Linked DNA regions of Oreochromis niloticus. The protein of the gene in region 3 purifies or fractionates together with the protein of the main gene of each other region. This does not show direct contact. Links are inferred from orthologs where the notes say so. Each region holds a gene or a part of one and is shown on either strand. Other genes may lie near its edges. The genes, in order: smad6b, spartb, wwp1 and ptpn21.

Region 1 (7,591 bases), on a different chromosome or scaffold from region 3:
TACTGAGTTTCATTCCTGTAAAAATCCTGTTTTTTACATTCCCGTCTACAAACACTGTCAAAACCCGGTGATTAAGGTCTTGATTCAAAGCCCCCCCCTTGTGAATAGTGTGAAAGAAATACCAGCTCTATTGGGCCACGCATGAGCGCATGTGAGCTATGTCTACTACAAGCCTTAGTCCCAATTTGGGGTATGTGCCTCTTTCCCTCTTCTTATAATTAATTTTGGTAGTTTCAGTGGGAGCAAAAAAAAAAAAAATAAAAAAATCCCACAGCAGAGGCTCACGGTTCAGCAGATGGAACAAATATCACACTCTTGTCTATCAAACTGATCTTATTCAAACCAATAAACAGCAAGGTTTGTCAGCACACTTGAGGTTACATATAATCGGTTCTGATCGATTTGGACAGCGTGTTAGGACACCAGAGCCAAAATCCACATCAGTTTCCCTCATTTGCTCAATATGAATTCTGATATTGTTAAACTTGTGACTTTGAAGTGCTTGTCACAGCCAGCTGGCTCTAGTAAACATGGATGTTATGGAAAATCCTCCTCCTGTGCCAGTGAAGGGACAGAAATACTAACGCTTGCATCTTTACACATGATACCAGGCGTTGTCACTGGGTCAGCGGGGTCGAGTGGCCCTGCGTTTAAGGTTTTTCAAATCGTAGACCCCGTCCACTGCCAAAATCTAATCTGTTTAATAGAGGTCAGGGAGGTTCTGCCATAGATAACTGATTGATTGTGGAAATAAAGCTTAATCTCCAGCACACGCCACTTAAAGTGACATACAGCAGCGAGGCTGTACCTCTGAGTAACTCTAAACAGCCACATACATGTCATACACAAAAAGTCAAAACAGAGGTACTGGCAATCACTCTGAAGGCACCGACTTGCTCAGACACACTACACAGTACACACAGTGCTGTATACATGAACAGCGGAACAAACAAACAAACTCCCCTTTATTGGAAACTTGATGTCACAGGCCACTGAAGTGAGCTCTGCAACAACACAGAGCTGTTCAAATTCGACTTTCTGGGTCAAAACTGACAGGCACAATAAACCGCTGAAAAATGTGTGCAAATCCTGGCTTGTTTTCAACACACGCTCTGAACAAATATAATAAAATTACCCAAGGTATCATCTAAGTAATCTGCCCCACATTTATGCTTTGTCAAATCTTCATGCATGTCCCTTTGCTCGCACTTATTATTATTGCTCACCTTGCAGTAAAGATGGCTTCGGTAATCATTAACTGTTTAATCAAATGGTCAACCTTTCTCTATCACAGGGTATGAAACCAAGCCAAACAACACAGGACAAATAAAGCAGTGTGACAGAAAAATTTCCAAGGCCCTTTACTCCCCACCCCTAAATAATGCTGGTTTCTGCCTTGTAACTCTAGCACGATCTGCCTTTAAATCAAATGGAAAATGTTTGAAAGTTATATGAAATTGTTGCATTTAAAGAAAAGACGCAATATTCTGCAGTAAAGATGTGTCAAAGTGAAAATACAGAGACAACTTTGAGGAATCTTTTTCATGCAAAACAAGTGCAGATGCCCAAATGCTTAGTGCTTTGTTGTCATTTAAGCTACATTGCAGGCCTTTGTGGTACAACATGCATGCAGTTTGTGTGGCAGACTCTTTTACCTGGCCCACAGAGTCGACTGTAGTGATAGGGGTTGCAGCATACTGTTGGACTGTCCGGGGCCCCAAAGCTCCTACACTCACAGAGCGGTTTGAGCTGGGCAGAGTGCTGGAGGTCAGACCAGCGGTACAGTTTACACACAAGCAGCTGTGGGGATGCCACATGGCCGCCGAATCTCAGCTCTGTCCGTGAAATCATAACACAGTCGCTCGGCATCCCTCCTCTGGACTCCACCGCTTCTAGTAAGGTATCCAGCGCTTTTTCCTTGAGCCGTTTTAAAAGAGCGTATGTGGCTGATTTCAGTTCTTGCTCTAATACCGTGCGTGGCATCGCCTCCTGCGCCTCCGGAGAGTCGCTGTCTCCTGGTCCAAGGTTCCTCAGCCCGAAGTGACACGACCCCGGATCCCTGGTGCCCTGAGCCGTCTCTGCACCCCTAAGCTCGGAGTGGTCCCGGTCTTTAAATAAGCAGCACGTCACCGTCCTGCATTCGCTGTCCTGTAGCGAGCGGGGGCTGCCCTGCTCCTGGGCACACGCGGCACCCCCATCCTGGTCCGACGTGACCCTCGAGTCGCTGCTCTCCACGGGGCAGACACCCCCTATGTCCACGACAAGAGACCCGCTAGGGGTCATCGGTCTGAACTCCGTTTTGGGAATTTTCTCTGGGTTGTAGCTGAACAGATCGTCCCTACAGCCCTCACCAGTTTTGCCAATTCCATCTTCCCCTTCTTTATCTGGGATCAAACGGCTTCTCCAGAGTCGCCGCACAAGACCTGAGCGTTTCGTCCTGAACATACGACAACTTGAAAATCTATAAGGATTTTTTTTATTATTACTCTTGTACGGATATCCTAATATTAAAGACACTTCTCCGGTCGTTGCAAAACATTAATGACGCTGAAATGCCGTGCAGTGCATGCACAGCCAAGTGACGAGCATTGGTGGCAAAACCGCAACATTAGAATTAAGGAGATTTGGTTGCATCTACAACAGCAAAACCGAGCAACAAATGCACTGCACCATTCCGATCAAAAGGCATGAATTCAGCCGATTATAATGTAAATAAACAAACTATGAAACTGTGGCTTATTCTCCAGGATCGCTGTGGAATGGACTGTTTACAGCCTTTTTTTTCTTACAAGCAAATAAAAAAATAATCTGAACACATGAAAACATATAGTAATATATTCTATAACATAATCCAAAGCCAACAGCCTCCAAAGCAAGACGACAACTCGCTGCCTCAAACAGTTCCCGACTTTTAGCCACCCCAGTTCTACTTTCTACACCGGCACGTAGAGCATGAGGTACTTCGATGCGTTTTAATCCAAAGTAAATGCACCGCAAAGTCAGGATCCTTGCCGTCTTCTCGAGATGTCAGTGCACTTCTTCTCTTTTTAAAATCCAAACAAAACGTCCATGCGTGCTGAAATGAGCTTTACGAAGCCGATCGATCCGGGGCTGAGTAGAGCTCCTGCTTCTCTGCTCAGATCTAAACCAAACTGCAGCCCAGGTCCCGTTCTTTCTCCGTTTCTCGCTCTTTTTCTTTCAGCCCCCCTCCTCTCTCTTCCTCACACACACACTCACACACACACATACACACACACATACACGGGGCCCCCGAGGAGAGCGGTGGAGCCATTGGCTGACTACCATCATGTGCTAGTCTAGACACTTTGGCGGCTGAGCTGCACTGATTGTTGCGCAAACAAGGTTTCAAGTTTCTTAACTCTTAAAGGCGAAACACCCATCTCTCTTTTTAAGTTAAAGTTACAAAAACTTATTTACACCCACTGCACTTAGTATGTAAAGTTTTTACAGAAAGCGAAAACAAACAAACAATTGAGAAGCTCATATGCACCAATATGTGCTTTTATTTCTCCGCTGAAAAGTCTGATTATTTTCATTATTTATTTTGTTTTCTACTTCATTTTTTTTTATTGAGCCACAAACATGGAATTTAACTAGAAATTTTTAGAAAATAATCTAATAAAGTTTATGAGATTATGAAGAGTGAAGACAAAGCATCAACATAGCATAAAAGAAATAAGACAAAAATAATGATGCTGACACTCATCTTTCAGTCTGTCTTCACCTAAACAGGCATGAATAAATAATAAAACTACATGAACACGGAAACCCTGCAATTGCATTTACATAGGATGACGGACAGGACGATCGATCTTGCATTAGACCTAATCTTTGACCCATTGACCTCATTAGGAATTTTTTCTTACTGAAAATACAGTTTTTCTGCAGTTTTGTGATGACATCGCATGCATTGCCTTGCTGGGTGAAAATAAAAGCAGTGCTGATCACAGTAAATTCACACATCATGAAGTTTTAGCTTTGATTCAAAGCACCAAAATGCTCCCAATTTAAACTCGTAGTTTAAGTATTTAAATATGTAAGAATTATATTAAGTTAGAAACATTCTTATATATAGAACTTACACATTATACTGGGCTCAGGGCCACTTAGCTGGTTTTCTGACTGCTTTGGGTGTTCAGATCAACACAACTTTACTTTTGGATATTTTGGTCTTTAAGTATGCCTGAAGTCTAGAACCCACGGACCTCACCAAACGCTGTGTGTCATGTCTTGAGATGCTCTGCCAGGACTTGATTGTGGGTCTTTATGCATTCAGTTTTGTCCCCAGTAAATGAGAAAGACCAGGTGACTGAACTGGCCATTGAAGAGTATCCCATTTCTTTGCCTCAAAAAACTCTTGGATTGCATTTGCAGTATGGTTTGGGTTATTATCTACTTGGTCTGTGGAATGTAGTCCAATCAGTTTTGACTGAATCTGAGCAGAGAGTATAGCCCTGGAAATGTTAGTATTCATTCTGCTACTTCTATCAACAGTCTCATCATCCATAAACACGAGTGACTCACTTCCGCTAACAGCCATAAATTCACATGGGTTCACCATGTTTGACAGATGATGTGGTACGCTTCACATCGCGATCTGTTTATCTCCTTTTCCACGCTCTTCTCTTCCCATCATTCTGGTACAAGTTAATCTTGGTTTCATCTGTCCAAAGATTTATTTTAGAGCTGTACAGGCTCTTTTAGATGTTTTCTAATTAAGTCTGATCTAGTCTTCTTGATCTTTAGTGTGGTTTGCACCTTGGTGTAAAAACTCTGGATATCCATTTATGAAGTTGTCTCTTGATTGTAGACTTTGACAGTGATACTCTCAACTCCTCAAGAGTGTTCTCACCTTAGATGTGTTAGATGTTGTGAAGTTGTTTTACTTAAGCAAGAACATGGACACAACAACAGGTTTTCGGTGTAGCCGAGATGGACACTGCATGCATTCTTTTGAATACCTTACCAAATTGTTGATTTGGACACTCCTAGAGATTTTTCTGAGTCGCTGATGAACTTATTTCAGTTTTCAGAGCTCATTATCTTGCATTGGCATCTCTTTGGGCCTCATATTGAGAATTCCAGTGAAAAGCTACCAATTCCAGTTTCAGCACTTGGAATCAACTTGAGATTTTTTTATCTGCTTAATGTGTCATAGAATGAGGGTGCAGGCCTCACTGGTCTATGAAACTGCTTGTAGGTAAATTGTCCAGCTACTTTTGACAGTCTTTTGAAACCATGTAAAATGGTGTAATTCCTAAACAGTATAGGAACACTTTTGCAATATTTTAACTAAGCATTTGAACTATACACTGGTATCAGTATGGGAAAATGGGACTGCAATACCATACTGTGGGTGCTTGGATGTCAGTTTCAGAAACCCTTGCTATTTATGTACTAGTGAAGCAACACGTACTAATATGTTTTCGTAGTTATTTTAGATAACCCTCTCTGCTTTTTAGAACTTGCAAAGCTGCTATAGCAGCTTGTTTTAGTAAACAGAAATTACATGTGTAGAGGCAGTGGCCTTCACATTGGCTGGAGACACAACAGGTGAACCCTTACGCACTGACCTCCCCACGATTCGGCACCTCCTAATCTCAAGTTTCTTGTCTTGTCAAGACAGGCTGCAAGAATAAAAAAAACATAATTCAAGACTTAAAAGTTTAGTAGTAAACACTGCTGATTGGCAATAGAAAGCTTAGTAACTAAAGTTTAAACCCAATATTAAACTTGTCATGGAAATTAAATTATACCATGCTCAAGTCAACCATTGGTAATGTGCTAAAATGTTAAACAAGACAAATTTTTAACTCATATTAAGTGTACTTTAACCTGATAACTATCTTAGTAATGTTTGAATGGAACATATGTAATCTAAGGCTTAAATATAAAACTGTATCTCTTATATAAAGAGTTTCTTTATTCCAGTATTATAACAGGAACTATGGACACATTGACTTTTAAAAAAACTTCATAATAAACACATGCAGCTTTCACTTGAACACCTCTGAAGCTCTCCGGGTTGCTCCAGTGGAGACTCCAAGCTTTGGCTGCAGCAGCATACTGTGCCAGTGTCTGAACTGGAATCAGATTTCCCTGGCAGGATCAGGGCTTTGGGGCAGGGGGAGGTTACTGAGGGTAGACGTGGAGGCCCTCATGCCTGCACTGTGTTAGAGGCACCTGTTGCAAATGCATTCCCTTTTGTAACTCAATCACATGTCAGACAAGGAAAAGAAAACTGTTATTACAGAGTACTGCTTCATTTGAATCATGCAATTTTCAGTCAAGACAAAAGAAGACCCAGCTGGCTCATAAGTCAGTGAGGCTGTCTGCTCTGCCATGCTCGCTGCTGGAACAGATTCATGTGAAGCAAACCTCTGAAAGCATCAGGAGCATGCAGACATATTAGATGCTTTAAATTTGGTACAGCGTAAGTTACATACCGATGATCCAGTGACCCTGGGAGAGGGTCTTGACTCGGTCACTGTTACAGCGAGTTAACTAATGAACCTGTGTGAATATCTTTAAATCAACAGGACACTGGGATATCATCAAGGCAGAGGTTGGATTTTCACGCTGAAATAATTTTTTGTATTTGTGTTAAAAAATGCGTACCAAAGCAACCAGTTTGTGGATTTCAGTTTTTTATATATTTGTATGATTTGTTTATATGACGGCATGCATTTTTGAAAACAATTGTTTACTTTGTGTTCACCAAAGAAGACAGCGAACACTTTTGGAATAAGAAATGCCAGTAATGATTTCAAAACAACTTGACAATTTGTTTTATTCAAGTGTATTATATATCAATGCTGTTTCATTTCTGTTTATTTTATTCTATTTATGCACCGACATTTACTCTTGCAGTCATTGAGTATCATCATGCATTTGTCAATGTATAATTCTGGATCAATGGCAGACATCGGAAGCTACCAGCAGTGACTCTTCATTAATAAATTAGACTGCCCATCTGTTTAAACACTGGTCGGTTGAAATGCCCCTGAACTTTGTAGTTTTACACTTCAATGCCAGTAAAATCAGTTTGCAAACTGCACACTTAATTCAGTTCACGTATGGAGGACATATTTAATTTCAAAAGGAACAAAGAGAAGTTCTTCTTAAACATGTATTAAGAATGAAAAAGCTCATAGCAGCACATATCATGCCAATGTGATACCAACAAGAGTAGGCCAATGCAAAAATGGTATTTACAGCTCCACGATGGACTGTAAGAGGTTCCTACATGAGAAACTGTGATTATCAGGCAGAGCGGATGTTTTTTCTTTTTTCTTTTAAGTGACTTTTGTTGTGCATTTGATTATTCCAAGGTTTCAAAGATAGACACAGAAACGTCAAGACAACAGCTGTTAAAAATAGCACTTGCGATATGCATGTCCTCTTATAATGGCAAAGTGCTACAGTAGAACAATGACTGTATGATACATGCTGCCTGAAACAACCTGTGGCGTTTCATGTTTTTAAACATTCATAGGCAATATGCCTTATTAATTGTTTTTTATTGAAACAACGGATTATTTAAAGTGCTATCTTAAAGCTACAAAAAACA
Region 2 (8,300 bases), on a different chromosome or scaffold from region 3:
CTGCATTTTTCCTGAGCTAAAGCGTTCATGCATGTAAGACTGTCAGACTGCTGGAAGGAGTAACTGTAGCCCCTGGTACAGATAATAACTTTTTTAATAGCTGGGTGATTCATGCAGGAGACTCTTTTTTTTTTTTTTTTTTTTAAATCTGTGAGGGAGCGCTTAAGTTAACTTCGTGTCATTCTTGATGACTCCTATTAAAGCAGTGTTTCAGATTGGTATACCCTGTTCAATATTTAGCGCCCTTTGAACCAGATGTTAAAGTAGGAACAGCGAGCCTTCCCAAATATTGTAGCATTGTTTCACCTTGGGGATGATAGTGCAAGACTGTGCAGCTTGCTGGAGTCAGAAAAGAACATGATCTCTCTGTCCATAAATCCCATAGCCTGAGACAGGTTTACTAGCGACCGTGATCCAGTTTTCTTTTTTCAGTCAGCCCTGTGCAGCTTATGTGGATTTCACCCGAGGACAATAAGCATTTGATTAAAAAAATAGGTCAGGATGCCCACATTTAGTTTTTCATAAAGAAAAGGTATTTCAATTTCCTCTCATTTAATCACTCTCAACCAAACTGGTGAGATTTGCTGATATAATAATAATAGAGGACACCAGTCACCTTTTGATTCTTACTGTTGCCCATACTTTTTTATCAGCTTTCTTTTAAGCAAGATTATTTTTAAACACTCACATTTTTTAGAGAACAGGGTTTTGTTGAAGCGGAACTTTTTCTTCTTTTACTGACTTTTTGCAGCCACTTCAGGGACACTAACTTTCTATAATACGGACCTCAGTGGAGGGCTGAGGGGAAACTGTGACTTAAGATCCTGATGTCTGTTAGGAAAACCATTAATTCATATGGGGTTTTATGACATGTGGACAAGCGGCGTGTATTTGTGGCTCAAAAATGCAGTGCAGAGGACACAGCTGCATCATATTTTAGTGTGTCTTTTACAGCTTCACCAGGAAAAAAAAAAGGCAATTCATTTTGACGCTTGCATTAATTGGAATCATTTGTTGTTCATTTTTTCGCATTTGTTGTGGTTGCACAATTTCCATTTGTTTCTGCTTGTGGTTATAGCTCATTCATGCACATTTAGCTCTTTAACAAACCTGTTTATTTCATGGTCATAATATAAAAACATGAAACACATGGGATACCACTACCTTTTTTGTTACTGGTTCATAGGAGATGTGCACTGGATAACAACATATATATTATTGTGTATTTATATCAAGTTCTAGTCTCAAGTTAATTGCCATCTTACACCACTGCAGTGACATAGTTGCCTTGTTATGGTGAATGCTTATTTAGTGGGCTTGCACGAGGACATATAAATAAGTAAATACAAATGTTAATCATTTACTCGAGATGAATGTCTTCATTTTGAACAGATCATAGTACTGTTTGGAATAATGAAGATTAAGAGAATTATTTATCTATTATACACACAAACACCATAAAAACCTAACATTAGACCTGCATAGCAAAAATCTGAGCCTGGAACAGTCCTTTATGATTGATTGCATTTGTGCTTCCATTTTGACAAATAACTATGAAAGAAAGGCTCTTCTTTTTGGCACACAGGCAGAAATTTGTTTACACAATGCCTGAGAAGCCCTTCAGTGCCATAATTCCTGCTCAACCCCTCATTTTTCTTCCGATCTTTCTCCTAAAGCAATATAAAAGAAATACTAAATAGAAATGGATGTGACCATTACTCTCTTCTGATTATAATTGTTTTATGAACACCGACCATCGCATATATGCTCAAAAAGTTATGGAAAAGAAAGCATCATTATATCTTTAACAAAGTGTATATCTGGAACAAAGTGACACTGACAAAAAGGCAGCAATAAATTACTGACATAACTGCGTCTACAGCTAAAATGAAAGTCTGGCCAAAAGATAAAAATAGATAAATATGAAAACAACTGCGTGCGATTTAACTGACTAATCATTAAAGTAATGGTATGTTTTGATCCGCACTGTGATTAAACTGAAGACTAGCAGTCTAGGAAAATACGAGGTCAGGCAGGGGGAAATTTGGACAAAACAGTTTTATTAAGGTTTTTTTAAGGGGCAATATGAACATTATATAGTAGTCATGTGGAAAAACCCCACAGAGCAGCCTGTAAAAGAGTTGTACATTCATTACAGCCTTGTCTCTGGTTCTTCCAAATAACTTCTTAAATAACTCATTTTATAGCTGCTTAATCTGACTTTTATCTTATAAACTCAAAACTAAAACTCCACAGAAAAGTAGATTACTGAATTTAAATTACTTGAATAATTGAGGATTAGCAAAGCCAAAAACCCACATGCATATCATTTGAGTGTTGGCTGAGATGTAACTCCTCATTCATCATTGTGCATGTGTTTCAGTAGCTCCATGAGTATTGAAATGTTGAAGTCTGTTTATACAAAGAATTCAAATAACCTGTTTTTGGTTAAAACAAATCTTAATGTTGCAACTCTTCATGAAAACAGCAACTAAACAGCAAGACTAACAGTCATACTCTCTCTGTTATACCAAGTCTAACTTGTAGTTTGTGCTGCAGGCATGATAAGTTATAGCTGTTCATGACTCAGAAAAACGAATTATTAAGAATATTCTTTATCCACATAGAAAAAATATTGCTGTGACCAAACTAAATCCATGATCTATAGATCTAAAGCAATCTGTCTTCCAAAATGATGATCCATACATACGTTGCCCATATGTGGACCAACTTTAACAACAGAAGACATGTTTTACCAGCCTGTTCCAGTTACAGACATTAGTCGACCTCTCGGTGAAGCAGAACAAATTCAAAACTTCCCCATCTGGTAAAATAATCAAAGTAAAGACAGGCAACCTGTTTGTAGTGCAGTCAGTACAACTGGACAAAAACTGCAGTGAAGTAGAGTATGATGCACATACAATTCAACGAGATGAATAATAAACTATAACTAACTTCAGAAAACAAAGTCGGTAATAAGAGAATGAAAAATAGATTTCTTTTTTATTCACTTTGAGCACAATTTACAGAAACACAGGAACACGGTTCTTATTAAATATGACCTTTTCATATTAAGGACTGGAGCTCAGATTCTTTGAACATCAGCTTGCCCTCGGGCATGACAGAGTTGAAAATAGTGAGCTAAAGCTGCACTGGATTAACACCGCAACATGTGTGAAGAGCATGTCCAGTCTGGTCCCAGTGTTTTGGCATCTGTGCTCAGTGAATACTGGGAATCTGTCAAACTGGAGATTAGACTTGTTGAGCTATTTTCCAGGGTCGCAGCAGCTAAGAAACTGATGAGAGTCAGACTACTAAAACAAAAACATAAGTGATTCAGAAAAAGTCCATTCTTAGTAAATTATGCATGTTGATTTGTTCTTATTGCTTTTAAAATGCCTGTAGGTTTCTGCTGTTTGATGGTGACATGCTAGGTAATTTCACAGTCATTAGAGGCGCATTTGAACCAAGCTGCATGTCTAATCATTCCCATGATTAGACAACATGTTTCAACTATGAAGGATGCTAAAAGTTTTTGATTAGACTGAACTCAGAGCAACATAAAAACTGTGCCGTTTTCACCACCTACTACTGAAAATCTATGTTTGAGGTAGGATTTGACTCCCTCTGGTGTGCAGTCTCAAAAATCTGAAATCTAGTCACTGAAGGTGTCTATGGCCAATGTGACATGTTTTTAAAATCCATAACAAATCTTCTATTTTTGTCAGTAGATTTGTAGATAAATTTCTTATTGTCCTTGGGGGCTCAATAACATGTGCTAGCAATTTCAATGAGCCATTTGCAGTGAGAGTGTTGAAAGAAGAACAACGAACAAGAAGTGGACATGTCCTGTCTGACTCACTTTCTTCCCCTCTGGAAATATTATACAACATTTGTATCAACATTTGGATGAACCTGCATAATTTTCTGTCAAGTCGGTCAACGGTTTGTCTGACTTTAAAATGATTTAGCACCGGTAAACAGATTCCTCAGTTTCACAGCTGCTGTGAGTGTTGAGTAAACAGGAAACGGTCACTGAACAGATTAATATTTCAGCTTTCTCAACAGCTGGGTGACCTGAGGTCAGCTCAGACCTCTGAGGTATAAAAGAGGGTTCCGGGAATCTCTTTAGTTGTTGCTGTTTTCAATTTTTTGTTGAATACATTCATTTCAGTTAATGAATACATGTCCACTTTATTACTTTAACTGGTGATTTAGAATCACCAATTAAACTAATCCATGTATGTCTTTGGGTTATGGGAGCAATCTTGAGTAAGCTGCAGACACAGGAATAGCATGCAATCTTCAGTGCATAGTTTAAGTTTGGACATCAAGCTCGAGGGTCATGACCACCTTCTTCAGGACAGCCTAAACTCTCTCAAGCAAATGTTCTTGTGAATTTCTTGTAAGGTCCAGGCTACGGGGAGGCCAATCCATCACCGATAGTGTTCCATTTTTCTAAAGAAGTATTGTAGCGGGCTAAGGGGAGGAGCCACTAGCTTAAAGACTCATGGGACTATTCATCTGACATTCACGTGTTAAGTTACAGAGTTATAACAGCTATTCCAGTTAACTTGATCTGTTGTTATTGTTATTGTTTAACATTATTGCAGCTGTTTTTCTGTATTGATTGTGGCCAGCAATGGCCACCATGACTGAGGCTGCTGTACCAGTTAATGACCAACGTTGTGATTTCGGGTGACTGTTTCAAAAGATGCATGCTGGTAGTTGAAAAGTGTAAAAAACATAGGGTCTCCAGGTCAAACTAGAGATCTCTGCCTCCTTCTTTGCTTACCCTTGAAACAGTATAATATCACTGTAATGGCAGTATGTTTGGCATTAGTGCATCACCCAAGATTTCCCAAAAATTTAGTTAATAGCGCCAAAGAAAAAATTTATAAAATTTTTTTTTTTGAAAACAACAAACAAAAACATGAGTGTGGCTTGAGACTGTTGAAAATGCTGCATTGTGAACTTGCTTTTTATCATAAGCTCAGCTAGTTTGTATTATTGATGCAAACTAACTGCAAACGCTCTTTATTAATATTAAAATATATATATATACACTGCTATCATTGAGTCACCGTTTTTGAATCTATATGGAAGTGTATAATGTGTATAAGTGTATAATTTCTGCTTGACATTAATGGAACTGAAATTTGATTTAATGGAAAATAAATTGTTGCAGTTGCTCACTATGACCAGTAGATGGAAGTGTCCCCTTATTCAAATGGTTCATTTATCAGTAGAAACAATTTGAATGGATGCTTAGTGACCTCTTGTGGTTATAGTGACGAACTACAAAAATTGTCAAATTTAGGTGGTTTTCACTACTTCCGGTTGCTATGTTTTTTAAAGGGGGGCTGACATATGATTGTATTGGGCACGTCGGTCGCGGAACTTTTGCTTTGAAAGGTCAGTAATGACCTCATGACATCACTAGGCACTCCTTTACTTTAGGGAGTCGTCAAGCAGAGAAGCCTAGTTTATTTACTCAGGTTCCTGGTCGAAGTTAACACTCTTTGCTAGCTAGGAGGAACGTTAGCAGGCAAATTAATAAGCTGTTCTTTGGTGGTTTTCCGCTCTCTAAGGTAAGAGCTAATATCATTCGCTATTAGGTGAGTTGGAGCTAGCTGACAGCTAGTAGTTATCACTAATTACGACTTCATGTGTTATATATATATGTTGCTGTCGGTACACTAAAATCGTGGCGTAACTCCTGACTTTGTCCGAACGCAGATGTTAGCTCTTGTTGGTCTGTGTTAGCAACTTTAACATGAGGATTAGTGTGTTTAAAGCCTGTTTTAGTGGATCATTTTAAACCAGTAACACTGACGTACGTAACGAAAATAAACCAGGTTACCTGTGATCTCGAAAGACCAAAAGGGCCATTTGCGCGATGTGTTTTATTTCTAAGTGACTTGTACATGTGAGTTTGGGGTCGAAGTTAAGTAAGCAGTAAAATATTATTTGAATAACCTTTAGCCCTTTCAGAGTCTAACCAAGATAATCATTTCCCTGCATGTACTGTACTTTCTAGAAATTTACATGTAAATCCAATTGTCTTGTTTCAGAGCAATGGAGAAAGCTAAACAAGATGCATTTGATAATGCCAGACTTCAAGTGATCAAAGATGGCTATGAAAGGGCCTTCGAGTGCATCAATAAAGGACTCACTGCAGATGAAGCTGGAGACAAGAGTCGGGCCCTGGAGCTCTACAAGAAAGGACGACAGCACCTTCTTAGGGCTATCAGTGTGCCTTCGAAGGGGGAAGAGTGTGTTGGCAACTCCTGGGAGTCAGCAAGGCAGATGCAGCAGAAGATGCAGGAGACACTAAACAACATCACCACCCGCATGGCCATACTAGAGACCAGCTCTGACCCTGAATCTGCAGTATCTGCCCCTGATGCAACAAGTATTTCTGCGAAAGGTCTCTACCCGGGACTTCCCACCACAGAGAAGCCAGCACGGCCACCTCCACCAGACATTCCTTCTGCTAATGGTCAGCCAGCTAGAGCTGTAGGAGGTTTGCCTCCAAGCGGAGGAGTGGGTCAACCCCTGTCACCTACCAGACCCTCTGCAGGTCCTGCAGAACAGCCTCCAGCCTACTCTCCTCAGGCGGCTGATGGTCACATATCTGTCTCATATGGAACAGATTCAGGGGAGATGTCATTGGTCGGGGAAGAGTTCTACAGTCATACATCTAACTCGACACCTTCCCCTCAGAGCATAGGTGAAGATGGAGAGGAGCTGCTGTACATTCCCCACGGTGTGCAGATATTTTTTGTCACACCTGAGGGGCAAGTGAGCGCTCCCTCATACCCGGGCTACCTGCGGCTGGTGAGGTTTACCAGTGATCACTCAGACAGAGTGCCTAATCGACCACCAGCATTTCTGCAGGTAAGAGGAAAAAAATTATATGATTTTAAAATGACACATTCATGCAGTGTTAAGCAATCACTGGAGAAAATAAGTTATCAATTCTCTCCCTCTTTTTCTTTTTTGTGTCCCTTTGCCCGATTTTATAAGATGTTTGCTCAATTTCTCAGTATCCCCATTACAATGAGTCATCAGCAGAAGGACATAGGCCAGTTAAAGATCAATGTCCCTCCTCCAAAGGACAGAGTCATGTGAGGGTTGTTTACCTAATGCCCTAATCCCAGTAGGTTTATGGCTATGATGTCATCCTCAGGGGAATCGCAGACATGAATCAGATTTGGGGCACAGGTGACTATATTCAAAAAAAGAAATGAAGTTATTTGGAGTGTTCACATGTTTAGGTATGTGCACTATGCCAAGAATATGTGTGAAGTTAATTTGATGTTTTAAAAAGAGAATAACAGTAGCTAGGAGCTAGATGGGCATGCTCCTATAAATGATAAAGGGTATAAAGGTTTTTTTAGTAGGAGGTGGTTTGTTTGTTTGTTTTTTTACACATTTTTACACATTAAAAACTAAAGCAGTGTTTGAACATTAATATCTCAAAGACCTTTAAAGATGAAAACCTAAAAGGTTTACCTGAAAATTGAATCAGGGTGTGCACTTAAAGGCAAATACACTGAAACATGACCTGGGCTACTTAAAAGAAAAAGGAGTCGAACTCAGGACCTCTTTGCTGTGAGGCAACAGTGCTAACCACTGCACCAATTGTTTCATAAAACCTATAGAATACATATTAACATAAAATTCTTAGTCATAAAAATGAATAAAACACTATTTTGATTAAATTTTCAATTTAGTCTTATCCAAATAGAATAAAATTCTAGAATTTCCAGATGGTACTCTAATTATAACAGAAAAATTTTCAACACTACTTTGTAGGCATGCACATTATCCTGGAAGAGTTTTGTCATTCAGTTTAAGCTTAAAATGTACTATGAACATTATAATGAACATTTTTTTATATAATATAACAATAATGAAAAAAGAGAGATTAGTTGCTTATTTCACATGAGTTGTCTTGCAAAGCCAAATTGTCCACATTGCACAATCGATGGTCCGCTGGACCCTAACTCTAATGCCTCAACTGTCACATGAAAGCAGGGATCATACTTTTTTAACATATCACATGGTTTGTGAATCTTCAACAATGTTTGAGATGCTTTCCAGATTTTTCTTTTTCTTTTGACTTGAAATAAGTTGGTGAATAAAAAGCAATGATGCAGTGAAATCAAAGGTTGTGAGGTGTTTTGAACTGCCAAGTTGGATTTGTAAAGGTCAGCACCGCAATCAGTCAATGATAAGATAAGAAAGAGTTTGGAGGTATGTACACAGCTTAAGTTCTTTATTAAGGGACTAAA
Region 3 (7,570 bases):
CTGAATTTGATGAGTTGAAGTAACTTGTGGTCTTGTTCATGGGCAGGGGGAGAGTGGAGCAGGAGATTGACAGACAGGCTGGAACAGCATCTGATGTAATCTCGGTCCTCTATCGGTCTGTTGTGATAAAGAAGGAGCTGAGTGTTAAGGCAAAGCTGTCAAATTACTAAACAATGCTTTTCTACCCTCAACTATAGCCACAAACTACAGATACTACCAGAAAGAATATAATCTTGGATACAAGGTGCAGAAATGAGCTTCCTCTGAAGGGTATCTCGTTCACAATTACAGAGAGGATAAAGATTTTGATTGTGAGGGGCTCAGAGCTGCTGCACCTCCACATTTGAAAGAGCCAGTTGATGTGGGATATCTGGACTATCTATATACTATATACTGGAGCGATTATGTGTCTGGATGGATGGATGGATGGATGATATCTGAGATATGTAAGCCCTTCAAAAATCTGCTGGCACTGGTTAAAAGCTGATGTCCACAAATTGAAATCGTTATCCATATGCACTGCGTAGTTATATCCAATCAATATTTTTGCAGTAATGGGCTGAATCTGAGTAGAGAATATAATCCTTTGCACTTGACAATTAACCCTGCTACAAACAGCAGCATTGACATTATCAATAGAAACACAGTTCCACTGCCATAAATGTCCATGCCATAAGTTCGCCAGGTATGCTGGCGAACTTATGTGGTATGCTGCAGATCATGAGCTGTTTCCCTCTGTCTCTATGCTTTGCTCCTCCTGCCATTCTGGTACAAGTTAATCTGTTTTTCTTCTATACAATATTTTTTGTCCAAACTGTGCACTCATTTAGATGCTTTCTGACAAAGGTCAAACTGTCCTTCTTGAGTGTAACCAGGCATTTGCACTTTGTGGTAAATCCTATACATGTCCCCAATCATGAAATTGCCTGTTGATTGTAGATCAAGCTTTCTTAGATTGCTTATCTTACCCTGTCAAGTTCACATGGGTTCACCTTTTCTGGAGCTGCATATTTTGTTGTCTGTTGGAAATAAGTCCAGTGGCACACATCCAGGAACATTTCCATGTTCTGAAGAATTATTTATTTCATTATTTTTGTGGGCCCAATATAACAATGCAGTTGTGAGGACAAAACAGGTTTAGAGTATGGGTCTCAAACATATGGCTCCTATTGTAAAATGAACCATCTTTCACAGTGTGATGATGCCAAGAACAATTTCTAGATCTCAGCAATTTGTTAGAAACATAAAGTTGTTAAAACGCTATTTTTTTTATTACATTACACATGTGAAGTTTTTGTGTCTTTGTGGCACCCCTTTGCTCTTTCAGTGATAATGTGTGTAATGACAGTAGACTGACTAAATGCATTAAAAAAATTTAGATTAATTAAATTTTAAGAGTGTAATAACTTTTTTTTTAAAGACTTCCCTTTTTATTAACAGTTGTGTAAATTGATTCAAGTTTTAAGATTGCAGTTGTTCTTGTTTACTCTAAAAATTATTTTTCAAACAGGTTAGACAGTGATTTTACTCACTGGGCCATTTGCGATACTATTTTATGTATTTCATTTAAACTGACGTACCCACCTGCAAATAATTCATGTAAGATTACAGAGTTTTCTGTGGCCTCTGGCTCACCAACAAATGAGGGTCACAAATGTAGTAACCCTGGAAGGTTTTGGACCTGTCATTGTAATAAGTCTCCATTATTTTTGCAGACTGAGATGAGCTGTTCACTTGAGAGATGGATGTGTGATGATTACAGTTCTAATGATTCTCATAACATCATTTATTCAGTTTAAATGTCATCCACACCAGGAGTCCAGCATGCACCATACCAGGACCACACAATTCAATAACAGTGTCATCAATTACATCTGCACTCTTCCTGGAATTACACCCATCTGCCTGCCACAGAACAGCAGTTTTTATTTTAGGATTATTTGTTAATTAGTCAATCATTTTAAGCTCAAAAGCATCCCCTTGACTCAAATGCTATTCGAAATTAGGAAACAGATAATTAGGATTTTTACTTCCATGTGCCTACTAACAAAAAACAGTACAGACTGAGGTTCGTTATAATAGTTGATCAATAATACTGAGCGACCACCAACACAGCATCATCTTTAATATAATTCTGAAAAAAAAAACACCCCTTCCAGTTCATGTCCTCCAAATACTTCCTCAAAAAAGAAATTGTAAAAACTTAAACATTGAGACGTATTTTTTAATTCAAACTTTTATTTTTACCCAAATGAAGAATCTTTAATTTTCAAAAAGAAACTTCACCACTAATTTAGGTCCTGTATCTTTATTTTAATTCATGTCTAGGTTTTGGAGTTCAAGGCTTTCAAAACTTCCTTTTAACATAATTTTAAAGAAAGCCTTGCTTTAATTTGCTTTAAAAATGATATTGACTACATCATTTGACATTATTTGTGCAAATTAACAGTTGCAATATTTGGTATAGACAAAAGGCAACAGATCTTAGTAGAAGAACTGTTATTAAGTGTATTAAGCACAGTACTGAGATCTGTCGTCATTTTAGGTTTGGGCAGCTTGGAGTCAATTCTGCATCATATCAAACGGGGAATAGTCAATTTAAATCCCAAGAAAACCTTCACAAATCTTGTAACGAATGTTCTTAAGAAGAGTCTGAAAATTTGACATTAGAGACTCCAAGACAAGTACACATACCAACTAGTTAAACCCACAGAATACTTTTACATTTCTGTTGGATAACAAAGCTTTTTAGCCTTTCGATTTTGTCCCAGTTTACCATCTGTATCTGTGGACTGTTCAGTGGGTAACTTCGATACTCGAACATAACTGACAAAAACTTTTATGATTCTTGTACGTGCATCTTGTGTTATACCCTGTGAGCTGTTGTTCCTGTATAATGACTGCAAGCTTTTCTGAATTTTATTTCATTTTATTGTATTTTATTTTTACTTTTTTGTGCTCCAAACATTTAGCAAAAAAGAGACCTCAATCCCACGAGACGTCCCATTAAACAACCATCAATATCTCTATGTAAAATATAGAAAACTTTTGATTTTTCCAGACAATTTAATATAACATTCATTACTGTAAGATTTTGTAAATCATCAACCACACACATGAAAAAGAGCAGCAGATCCTCTGTAAACAACACCAGCAAGGGTCTGAAATGTGTCTGTATAAGTTTCTCTTTAATATGTGGAAAATAACGTGTTAATTATAAGTCACTGCAGTATTTTTTTGTTTGTTTGTTTTGTTTTTTACAAAATAAAGCTGGCTCCAGAATCTGAATGTACTCTGTATTTTAAAATGATAAAAAAATAAGCATCAGGACACACTGGCAGGAAGAACTAGGCACTGAGCATGTGTGGGAAAAATGTTGTGGCAAATATTCACAGCATCTATATAAATTCTTTGCACACTCTGATACAATTCAGTCTTCCAAAGACTTGCACAGATGAGGTTCTCAAAAGATTATAGATTTTCTAGAATCACTTATTTGATTTCTTCACCAAGGTTTTTAATTTGGAGTGCCCCTTTGCCCCTCTTAAAGCATTATTTGGGGTGGTAGACTCAAGCAGGTTACACATCATGAAGAAGCTCTATCCACAGTGTTAGCAGGAAAAATTCTGCTCCAGTCTAGGAAGTCTGAGACAACTCCAATGTTTGATAAGTGGCTGAAAGAATTAGGAAATTTGCTACACTTGGGGAAAAATATGTAAAGTTAGAAACAGTATGTCAGACACAGTGAGTCTCTTTCAGAAAATCTGGTTAACAATCACAAGTTGAAATCAGTCTCTAATGGTCTTACAGATCAACAACAAGGCAGGTAAAGGTGAACACTAGTAACACATCTAATCGTGTATCTTTCTTCTTTCTTTTAAATATTTTTATTTTCTAAACTTTAAAAACTACAAATATATTTTTAAAAAGCATCAGGTAATATGAGGTTACATTACATCAACACATTCAATTACCACAAATCGGCCTAGTTTTCGTTCCTAATGTATCGGTGCCCGACAGATTTATGGGGGACCTAGTTGGGACGCACACCCCCCTACATCATTTTTCTGGTAAAATTGGTTAAGTAAACGGGAAACGGGACTTTCAGTCAACATTGCCTACAACGTTCAGTAACGTGAAATGTAAAAATAAATAAGTTTTGAGATTAAACAAACAAACAAAGAATATTTTAAAAGGAAAAACAAAAGTTTGGATTTTATTAATAAATTGGATCATGACGAACCGAATATTTTAGTTAAGAGTTTCCGTTTAGACTACATAAAAGTAATAAATGTGCAGTGTATAGCAGTAAGCCTGTTTCGTGCCCCGACTTATTACACGGCAGTATTACCCCTTTTCCACTAGTATCTACTGGGGTGGCGCGCCTGTCGCCCGTGTGTTTTGCTAGTCATAGGCTTCTGTACAGAGATGGCAAGAGAGCCGTAGCAGACTGAGGGGCCTGCTCGGCTGAGGATTTTACTGACAACCGTTGCGTTAGCACACAGCAAAGATACAGAGTGTAGGAAAGTAGAGGAACAGCGAACAAGGTAAAACACCCCTGCTAATGTCACTTAAAGCATTTAGAAAGACGTTCTCCGAGTGTTTAAATAGTATTTCTTGATAAGCCTGTATTTTATATGCAGCCGAACTGGCTAGCTTTGTGATGGCGGACAATTAGCCCAGATGCTAAGTAAGTTAGTCAGATAGCCGGCTAGCGAGCAGCTAACTTGGCTCACCTAGCTAGCGTCTGCTGTAACGTTATAACAATATGCAGATGTAGATTAAGCAAACACGCTACGTTTTTAGTTATGTGCCCGTTATCACCTCTTGGTTTGTCAGATGGATATTATACACACAGTAGAAAGGATAGTCACCTAGCGTTAAGCTACTTTCACAAGACTAAAATTGTTTTGCTTTTTTTTAACTGTAGCTAGCTGGCTACCTTATTGATAGCTAGTTACAGACTAGTACTGCTACACATTTAAAGGTTGTCACCGGGAGTATCTGCACTTATTGTACGTATGTGTGTTGCAAATAGATTTAGGAGGTTAAGTGTCCCAAGGCCAGTAGCTGCCTATTAAGTTACACTTTGTAAGCTAATGCTAGCAGTCAGTAGATTACCCCAAAGTTAGCCGCTGTTCGATAACTGTACCTGAGTTTGTGTGTTATGATCAGTATTTAATATGTAAATTAAGCATTGCTAGCGTATGGCCTGCGAATTGTGTCAAAGTGGAATCAATCTTCTGCTTTATTATCCATTAATCCATGTGACTGATTACCAAACTTTTGCTCGTGAAAGGAAATGATATGTTACCCTTCAACTTTTAAACGTGTTGACATTTCTAGCCTTTGGGTGTTTCTCGGGTCGTAGACAGTGCTTGGCACAGGTGAATGTGAGCCTGACCCTTGAGCCACAGCTGTTTATTTTAGTGTTGCTCCAACTTGAGTTATCCAATGAATAGTGAGTTGAACATGTAACACTTTCAGGGTCTCTAGCTTTAAAGACGAAATTCTGAGCAGAGACAGAGTAAGAGAGACCATATTTATGTGGGCTCCGCTAACACCTGATGAGAATCCCTGTCAGTACTGATTAGGCCCAGTTGCCTTACATTTCCCTTTTCTGGACAGGCTTGGTCTCAAAGAGAAATGGTCTTTCATGGCTGTGTTTGTTTGAGTGGCTGATGCAGGTTTATGTTTATACAGTATCTGCTATTGTATTTCAGGATTCTTAGTGTCTTGCTGTCTCTCTGTCATGAACAGTGGTTTAGTATTTAGGCTATCACATGCTGTGTATGCTAGTGCCACATTGGAAGGAAATTACTTAGAGTAAAGTGTCTGTTAAGGCAGCATTATTTGCCTGCTGGCTCTAAAATATGCTTGTTTTTGTGCTCTCACTCACTTGCAAAGACACTGACCTTTTGAAAAGCAGGAAAGCAGCTGTGGGTGAAATTAGGAGTTGTAGCCTGCTACCATTGTGTAAAGCTTGTGTGTTTTGCCCATGTGAGAGTTTTTTTTTAAGTCTGGCAAAATAAAAGAGAGCTGGACTAAAGAAACTTTAAAGAGCTTTTAGGGTATGGGGTAGCGTAAGAATAATCACCGTCTTATTATTTTGGATAAAGATAAGATTTACTGTATTTGTCTTAAAGTTAGGAAATTCCTGCTACATTAGTTAAAAATTAAAATAAAGAGAACAAACATAAAAATAACCCAAGTAAGTAATAAATAAAAAAAATAACCATGTCAGTCGGTGTCAGGTTAAAAACAATAGTTATTCAGCTTCAGGACTTTTAAACATTTAAATATACTTTATATGCATTTATGCTTCAGTCCTGTTCATGGTCTGCCCGGATGTGTTCTATAGACAGCTGTAGTACAGCGGGCATGTGTGTCTATGTATAAACTGTTATGTGCGTCATTAGGTCACAGGAAGACGGACAGTCCATTAGAACAGACAGCAAAGCTTGTTTGACAGGTGGTGTGAGAAAGGATTTGTCTTGGATTTTTACACACAAAGGTGTACACTTACAGAAACAAGTTGTCTGCTGTGAAGCAGATTTTTTTGTTAGCCAGCCTCTCCTTTGCAACCTTTGGAATAAAGCAGGAACATGATCAGACAATCATCACAAAATACAAAATGCATGTCCAGCAGTAAGCACGTTACTCTTGTTTTGTAGGCAAATCTAACCCTGTGCTAACCCTGCTGGCAGCCAGCATATTAAAACAGATAAGCAGTCCTCGAGCAAAACAAAGAAAACTGAAGTGAACCTAAGATTAAAGGTCCTGTGTTTTTTATGGTTTTATAGGTTTTTTTAATAACTGTGAATTCATCTGGTGTTACCCAAGAATCCAGATCCTACAAATAAAATATTAATTGTCCCCTAGACTTGCTGTTAAACCCCTCCAAGCAGGTATTGAACAGGTTCAAAACAGGTATCTGTAAACACGATAAGCCAAAGTCCTTGGGTGTGTATTAGTTGGGCAACTAACAATTTTCAGATTGTCAGTAACTCTGAGCTGTTAAAAATGTTTAAATTGTATTTCAGAAAACAAATTTAATTGCAATATTAAATCAGCTATTGAGTTATGATCCTCTTTCAACCTTGGTGTTTAGGAGTCAAACACCGCTGTATAAATACCACTCTGTTTCCATATTTCTTGCTCAGAGATGCTGTTTAGTAGTAACCCTCACAGGTCCCACTTTAATCAATACCTGACATAACCCCTGACTTGGGGTGGCTGTATCTCAGGAGGTAGGGTAGGTCATCTACTGATCAGAAGGTTGGTGGTTCGATCCCTGGCTCCTCCCCCTGCATGCCAAATGTCCTTGGGCAAGATATTAACCCCCAAGTTGCTCTCCAATACATCCATCAGATGTGTGTGAATGGTAGTTAGAAAGCACACAAGCACATGCTTGTGTGAATGGGTGAATGTGGCATGTTGTATAGAGCGCTTTGAGTACTCTGAGAGAGCTATATAAGATATATTATATAAATATGTGCATTAAGGGAATAGAAATGGCTTGCATGACCTTTAAAGTAGTCATTGTAAACCACGCATGATATGAAAAGCT
Region 4 (7,967 bases), on a different chromosome or scaffold from region 3:
CAGATACATACACTAACTTAAATTTCTTAATAAGTCGTGCTTAAGGTTCTTTTAATTTGACAAGGTCAAAGCCTATTAACGTCTCATTGGTGATCATGATTAACAACTGGTAGTTTTTCTTTGGAGCATAAGAAAGTTGGTTTGACAGCACTCGTTAGATTGATCGATATTCAGAACAATAGGAAAGTCCAAGGAACCCAGTGAAGATCTAAGAAGAAGAATAGGAGTTTACTCTAGATTTACACAAGTTGGAGCCATTTCTAAACAACTTCAGATTCCAAGATCATCAGTTCAAGGAATTATAAGGAAGGTTTTATGGTTAGATCAGACAAAGATTAAGCTATTTGGCAACAATGACAAGACTGAGGTTTGGAGGATTAAAGGTGCGGCTTTCAAACTTAAGAACACTGTACCATTTGTCAAACATAATGGTTGTAGCATTGTGCTTTTGAGCTGTTTTGCTGCCAGTGGTACTGGTATACTGCACAAAGAGGATGGAATAATAAAGAAGGAGGACTACCTCCAAATTCATCAACTTCACCTCAAATCAACAACCTGACGATTGAAACTTGGACACAATTGGGTATTCAAATATGACAATGATCTAAAACACACACCAAAACTGATTTGGGAATGGATAAAGCAAAGCAAAGCCTCAGCCTCAGAAAATGTGTGAACTATGTATAAAAGCTGGTTCTGTACCAGGAAACCAACATGTGAATGACCTCAACCAGTTCTGCCAGTAAGAGTCAAATATCCACCAAGAATTGTACCCGAAGCTTTTTAGTGGCTACCTAAAGGATCTGGTCCAGGTGCAGCATGCTAAGGGATATTTAACCAAATACTGGTGTAGATTTATGTATATATTTGAGCCTGTATGTATACTTCTGACCCTGCGTGGATCAGAGAAAATCCTAAATAAATTCCAGCTTGTGCACAGATTCTTGTGTTTTACATTACATTACATGTCATCCTTACAGTCTAGACTAAAATTAAAATGTACAAAGAAATAATTAAAAGCTGAAATTACCCTGAAATTCATTCACATGATGAGTGTATGTAAACTTCAGACCAAAACTAAGTATTGTGTTTAATTCTGTTGTGTAATAATACTAATAGTTTCTATCTTATCCACCAGCTGCCATTGATACCTCAGTACCCAAAAGCTTGCTGTATAGTGTGAAGTGTAAGTATACATATATATATGGTGGCCATATTTTCTTATGACTCATACAGCAGGAGATGTTGGGACAAAATAAATTTAGATTGTGTCATCAGTTTAGATAATATTGAGACAAATAATGCCATAATTAGCAGTGCATATAATAAATAAATAATGGGTAAATAAAGTAAAGTATATGCTTTGCTGCTGGTGATAGTTGAGCAGTGCAGAGAATTGTATCTATTGTGCTACTTCAGTTGTTTTAATACCTCTTTACAGACAATGACCAGATCAAGCAGGATCGGTTGAGGAAAAATGGCCGTCCTCAGTCAGCACCTGCACAGAGGAATAGCAGAACCTCATACTCTTCATCACAGGTAAGAAATTCTGGCGTTGTCATTGATCACTGCTTCATGTAATGCTAACAAATTTTTATTAGCAGATTTCACGCAAATGCAAAGCCAACTTTATTTGCTTGAAATCTTTTTCAGTCTACACAACAACAGATTCACCCCATGTGTGTTTTTTAGAGCAGATTATCCATGCAGTATGATGACAGCACCTACCTTTGCTCGAGGAGCTCCTTGGTCTCCAGCCCTAGGTTCAACACCGCCTTTAAAGTCAGTGAGATGGTTTATCCATCGCTCAAAGTCAGCTCTCATCACACTCGCCCAGCATCAGAATTGAAGTATCGGAGCCCGGAGACAGCTTTTCGAAGAAAGTCGTCAGCTTGTTCATTGGCAGTTTCTGGAGATCAGAGTTCCTACAAAACCTTCCAGGACCCTGTCCGGAAGACATACAGCGGAGACTTGCTACTGAAACATTCACAGCACTTTACACAAGACAAACCTTTCACTCCCAAGACCTTAAAATCAGATAAGAGCTCATACCTGTCAAAATATCGCTACTACAGAGCACCACAGAGAAAACCTACTCAGGACAGCAGCAACTCAACATCGTTTCAGCAGGAGATGTGTGATGGAAGGTAACGGCTGAATGTCTTGATGAGACTGCAGATCTAAAGTTGTGTCTTGGGAGATTTTTTTTCAGCATGTGCTGCTTGTGTCTTCACGTGTCTTTTGGTTGTTTTCATACAGCGTAAAGAACAAGGACTGCATGCAGGATGTTGATGAGCCATCTCAGGTAATTTTGATTTGATTAATAATGCATACATATCACAATATCTCGGTAATACTTTCATTATCTTTTGTTCCCTTTAAAATATGCCTAAAGCAGAAGGCAAAACAGAAGCATTTACAGGCTAAAGAGTACAGAATCTATTTGATCACAAGAAAGCTTTGACAGAATTGAATTACACTTCCCATTTTCCAGCCTTCTTTTCTTTTTTCTCTTTTTTTTCTACAGGGATTTATTACAGAGCATGAGTGGTTTGAGGATGAGCTTAATGGCACATATTCATCATCAAGACAAAAGAGTCGAGCAGCCAAGGGCAGAGAGCGCAGTTTTTTCGACTCCTCGTTCAGGTGAGCTCATGCAGTAGAAAAGGACATTGTATTTTATTATTTATTTAATTACTTTCTTTCGTAAAATTCTTTAAGTGTTTAAATTTCATCTTCTAGGGTCTCACCAGAAAACAGGAAATCTCCCCATATGATGAGAGTGTCCACAGAGTAAGTTCACCGACCTTCTGATTAGTAGACAGATTTTAACAATCTAAAGTAATACATTATCTAATAAATGAATTATTGTGTTTTGTTGACGAATAGAGAAGAAGAATTAATGTACCTTAAATTCATTTCCGCTGTGACAGAAGATATCTTGTCCAGGGGACACATTTCTGACAGGTTGAAACATTTTAATATTTTTACATTTCTGTGCCATAGTTAGATGACAAATGTACAGACGTTTGCACAGCTTGTTAATAACTTTGTGTCTGTGTCTGATAAAGGAGTTATTGGTTAAATAGTAGCTGTGAGAGTCTTATTTTGAGTAATTACTGACATGTAAGTGTCTGTGTCCTCTGCAAGGGTCCTAGACCGTGTGTTAAATCGGCACTTCGACATGAATCGTCATCAACTGGATGAGGTCAGCATGTAATTTCGTGCATAATACAAAAAATTTTAGGCAAGTCATGTTCATGGCTTTTTAAGGTGTTCTTGTAAGCCCCGTGCTTTGCTCGTTTTTAGGGTAAAATGCGCCACCTGCTGGAAGTGTTGCGTAAAGACTTTGAAGAACCAACCAACATATCCAACTCCAGTGCAGAGCTTGAAAAAAAGGAGAATTATCTGCTTGATAGCCTCCTACCATGTCTGGAATCAGTGGGAAAACATGTAAAGACCAAAGAAGACAATGACTTGTTCCCTTATGTGTCCCCGATTAAACACTGTGATTTCCCAGCTTATACTGATCCCTTATTGGCTTCTACGCCCTTACGCTCTCCTGCAAGAACTCCTTCTCAAACTGAAATAACTGAAAAAGATAAGAAGGGTGACCGTGAGGGAAAGTTTATTGACTGTTCTTTGGTTAGTGAGCATGTCACTGATAATACAACAGCCAGTGAAAAGGACTTCCATATAATAGGCACAACTGTTACAACCAGCACCCACAGTGAAACCCAGGAGTATTCTGCTATAGCTAGCGATCAAGAGGAAACTGATGGACAGTCTAAAGAGCTTGAGGATCTAGGGAAAAGTTTGTCAGAGTCGTTGCATGTGTCCAGCAACACACACTGTGAAAGCGCTGCCAGTGAGCAACATTCAAATACAGGGGCTTCTGGCAGCGATGATGAATTTTAAGTTTTTATTGTACTGTGGGATTTTATGTCCGTCTACATTTTTACCGAGTGAAGTGTGTTCCAGAGAATGAAGCGATATTTCACATTTTTCAAAGGTGTCATATAAAAAGAAATAACACTGGTTATTTACGAGCCTCACTAAAGAGTGTTGTACTTCTGCTTTGTTTTCGATGAATTTTTAACAACAAAAGCACAATGAAAATGTCAAAAAAAAATAAGTCTGAGCTTTAAAGTTCTCATTTAGGATGGGGATAAGCTTGATCACTGTAGTGGCTGAGCTGCAGTTTACCTCTGCAGTCAGTTTCAGTATACTGCCTGTTAGTTTTAAGTACAATGTAGCACAAGTTAACATTTTCAGATAAGGTGTGAAGTGTGTTCATCCTGAAAAGTCCACTGTTACCAGAAAGTGTCTTTACAACTGCAATAAAATTTGCTTTTTATTCACTGCTTGCTTCTGATTATTGAGACTGTCATTGAGGTTCTTAACTTGGGAAGTATTGCAACTGGGAAACTATGAAAAATAATCTATTATATGTATATAATAGATTTTATGTACACTTCACAGGTAATCTGCAATATTCTACTGTTTGGTTATACACGTCTACGTCCTCATACACATTCATTTTCAATGCTAATGTGCAACATCCTCAAGTAAATTCTTATTTTTTAAATATTTTAAATACATACCAGTGTTTACCGTGCTTAATAAATATAGTCAATAAAGGTTTTATATTTATCTGTTATTCAGTTTTTGTGCAGTGTGTCAGGGAGTATAAACGTGATTTCGTTGTGCTTGAATCTTGAAACTATTTATTAAGCAATATCGTGTGTTTGCCATTACAGCTGTCGACTAAGCTATGGGTCGATGTAAAAAGTAAACAGACAGGTCCTCGCCAGCAGTGCCTGACAGCTGTCCCATTTCTGGCATTTTCACTGCTCGGCATTCCAGCTGTCTGATGTCATCGCTCTGAAAACCTGCATGTATCCTTCCGCTCCAGAGGAACTACAACAGATTTTAAACCGTTTGCTTATAAAAATACACTTAACCAGCTAGCTTGTATAAATGTTTAGTTGAGTTCGTGTTGATTTCAGTGTAGTCCAGGAATGAATTGAAGGCTGAACAAACAAACGCCAAAGCAATAGCGCCGCGGATGAAGACCGAAACACTTGTTGCTCTTCTAATCCCAGGAAGCGAAACACGCTTGGAACTTGGAGTGAACACTTGGACCAAAAGGCATGGGGGCTCTGTTAGTTTGGATCCAGAACAAACTACAGACAAACAAACTGCCTTTTAATCTAATAGTTATCCAGTAAGCAGCAATCCATTGACTTTGGTGGTGGAATCCCTAAGGACTGACCAATAGTTGGACTACCAAGTTGCATCTGGTGGCTAACGGTAACGTTGATGTTTTTTTCCCCCAAAATATTTACCGGGGGCGACGTCAGCTTCCCAAGGGTGTCGTCTATTTGCTGGAAGTTAGCGGGCTAGCGTAAACGCTAATTCCAAACCAGTTGTAGTGAATGTAATGGATTTTCTTAAAGTGACTTAAAAGCAGCTAGATAGTACCAAATGTACCAAATATGTGGACTAAGAGTTTTTAATTGTAGCAGTAAAGAAAGTAGAGTTGTAACTATCAATAATTTGAAATATAATTGATGCATGGTTTATGATTTTGAAGTGCCTGCTGCTTATAGAATAGGTCGCACTTGTCGGTGTTTGGATCAGACTATTCGCCGGAAAGTGATTACTGTAGCCATAGGCGTAGTAAAATGACCATTATAGTTAGCAGTAAGTGCACAGGTCAGAGGGGACATCCGTAGGATTTGCCCTTTCTGCTGTGCCCAGATTGTTAAAGAACTCAAGAGGTGGAGGAATTGTAACGTTACTGAGACCCCATTGCTGTCAAAATGAAGCATTAAGGGGATTACTGATTACTTTACGGTAATCCCCGTGTTAGTCTAGTCTTAAGGGTAAGTATCGTAACATATTCTTTAGTGATGAGTAAGGCCACGCTCTTAAAACTAGTTTTGGTTGTGGTTTTTGGATGCTCATCTGATTGATTTTTCCGTCTGACTTTTCAGACCTGTGTGCTGATGATGAACCCCCTGACTTGTTACATTATCACAACTTTGTGGACATCAAGGAGAATACTTCCTCTGGCCTGAGTGGAGACCCCCTCTCCACTGTTTAAGACGCCTGAAACATGCCCTTGCCGTTTGGCTTAAAACTCAAAAGGACTCGAAGGTATACTGTTTCAAGCAAGAGCTGTCTTGTCACACGGATTCAGCTTCTCAATGGAGAGTTTGTTGAGTTTACACTCTCAGTGGAGAGCACTGGACAGGAATGTTTGGAGGCAGTAGCCCAGAGACTCGAGTTAAGAGAGGTATGTAGGTGTTTTTTACGCAATACAAGTGCTGATTGTTCTCTCTTATATGGACTCTTTAAGACCTGCCATCTCAGCAAGAAAGTATTTTTTTGACTATTGTCTGCTGGTCACATTCTTACTTGAAACTAGTAAGCAGAACAACAGAAACTATGATAACTAGTTTGTCATTGTTTACTCATATAATGTCATTTCCCATAATATTTCCCAAGATGTAATGACTCAATCATTTCCCAGTTAAATACTTTACATAAACATATGGGACATTGAGAAACATGTAATTTAAAAAAAAATTAAAAGCAGAAGTGTCATCTCTTGTAGATCTTGGACAGTATGCTTATGAAAATTACTTCTAAGCATGCATAAGATAATGTACTGAGGTTCATGTCCAAGTCTGGCATTTATTTATCATGTTTGGTTAGTGATGCTAATGCAAGGCCTCCACCTTCATTTACTTTCTGTCACATTGTTTGCTTTTTTGATGTTAGTAGAGTTACTAGAGAAATCATGTGGTGAACTACTCACTCTGTTAAACTACCACAAGCACAATTCACTGTTACATTTGAACCATAGATATATCCGGGTTAGTAGGTCCTGTGTTTTGAATATAATTTTTTAGTATTGCTATAAAAACAAATTTTTGTGATGTTTACACAGTGCTTACTCATAGACAGCAGCTATTGTCCAGTGTAAAATGTCAGTAAACAAATTTCTGGTTGTGTTTTTAGCTGCTCTCTTACCAGTGTTCATTGGGGATATTCGGATAGTCTGAAGGCAGCACAATCTAGAGAAGTCTTATATTTTAGATTTATTTTAGATGATACATAACAGCTACATAAAAACAAGCAGACAAATCATATTAATGTTCCTATTTTTTGAGAAAATTAAATTTCACTGATGATGTTAAATTAAAACAGAAAAACCTCATGTCTCTAGTCTTATTTCAATATAGATACGTTTTTAAGCTCCTCTGTTTTCATATCGGTATTTATATCATTTGGGCTTTCTAGTTAATCTAAGTCTGGCCTAAGTGGGATGGTATAAGCGTTTCATTATTTTGTAAATTTATCTTTCTGTGCCTATAACAAAAATGTCAATCTTTCCATTGAGTAGTTTTCATAAATGATTTTTAGCCAGTCTTCGAATTGTGATACATCAAGTTGTGCTCACATTTTACTGGATTTATTTCCCCTTCATATAGTAGTACTGGCATTAAGCATTTGCCTTCATCAGTTGTTCTATGCTGTGGCCCACATATACACTGTGAAGGTGTCAAATGGAAATGTGTTCATAAATATGGTTTCTAAACATTTGTGGATGTCACGCCAACATGGCCAGAATTTCAGACATTGCGACTTTTGATTTTAAGGTCTGTTTATAAACAGGAGAAGACGTGCAGATTTACATTGGCACTGAGCTCTTAAGCAGTAGCCTATTGGTCTAGTCTTTAATATGTAGTATAAGTCTAAATGTGCCTGCCTGGATTACCGTTTGCCCTAGCGTGGTTAATGTTTAATCTGTCCTCTTGCTTTTTTGTTTTTGCTCGTTAGATAACATACTTTAGCCTGTGGTACTTCAACAAGCAGAACCAGCAGAGATGGATTGACTTGGAGAAGCCACTGAAGAAGCAGCTGGACAAGTATGGGGTGGAGCCCACCGTTTACTT

Evidence for each region.
Region 1: the proteins of wwp1 (region 3) and smad6b purify together in Homo sapiens (affinity purification with western blotting; 3 studies listed by BioGRID, with this or other methods). This does not show direct contact. The link is inferred for Oreochromis niloticus from reciprocal best matches to the Homo sapiens genes WWP1 and SMAD6.
Region 2: the proteins of wwp1 (region 3) and spartb purify together in Homo sapiens (affinity purification with mass spectrometry; 5 studies listed by BioGRID and IntAct, counting the BioPlex papers as one, with this or other methods). This does not show direct contact. The link is inferred for Oreochromis niloticus from reciprocal best matches to the Homo sapiens genes WWP1 and SPART.
Region 4: the proteins of wwp1 (region 3) and ptpn21 purify together in Homo sapiens (affinity purification with mass spectrometry; 3 studies listed by BioGRID). This does not show direct contact. The link is inferred for Oreochromis niloticus from reciprocal best matches to the Homo sapiens genes WWP1 and PTPN21.

What each region holds. Positions count from the first base shown.
Region 1 is NC_031972.2:51,545,880-51,553,470, forward strand, and holds the start of smad6b (mothers against decapentaplegic homolog 6b), read right to left. Parts: upstream 3,308-7,591; 5' UTR 2,446-3,307; coding exon 1,656-2,445; intron 1-1,655. UniProt on the Homo sapiens protein: Transforming growth factor-beta superfamily receptors signaling occurs through the Smad family of intracellular mediators. SMAD6 is an inhibitory Smad (i-Smad) that negatively regulates signaling downstream of type I transforming growth factor-beta.
Region 2 is NC_031979.2:30,838,034-30,846,333, reverse strand, and holds the start of spartb (spartin b), read left to right. Parts: upstream 1-5,272; 5' UTR 5,273-5,415; intron 5,416-5,421; exon of another isoform or gene 5,422-5,591; intron 5,592-6,074; 5' UTR 6,075-6,078; coding exon 6,079-6,900; intron 6,901-8,300. UniProt on the Homo sapiens protein: Lipophagy receptor that plays an important role in lipid droplet (LD) turnover in motor neurons.
Region 3 is NC_031974.2:27,338,110-27,345,679, forward strand, and holds the start of wwp1 (NEDD4-like E3 ubiquitin-protein ligase WWP1), read left to right. Parts: upstream 1-4,315; 5' UTR 4,316-4,547; intron 4,548-7,570. UniProt on the Homo sapiens protein: E3 ubiquitin-protein ligase which accepts ubiquitin from an E2 ubiquitin-conjugating enzyme in the form of a thioester and then directly transfers the ubiquitin to targeted substrates.
Region 4 is NC_031983.2:15,959,670-15,967,636, forward strand, and holds the start of ptpn21 (tyrosine-protein phosphatase non-receptor type 21), read left to right. Parts: upstream 1-4,955; 5' UTR 4,956-5,313; intron 5,314-5,999; 5' UTR 6,000-6,121; coding exon 6,122-6,301; intron 6,302-7,851; coding exon 7,852-7,967. Other genes in the region: spata7 (spermatogenesis-associated protein 7 homolog), read left to right, coding at 1,139-1,186, 1,442-1,539, 1,693-2,147, 2,260-2,305, 2,528-2,646, 2,743-2,793, 2,890-2,967, 3,151-3,208 and 1 more.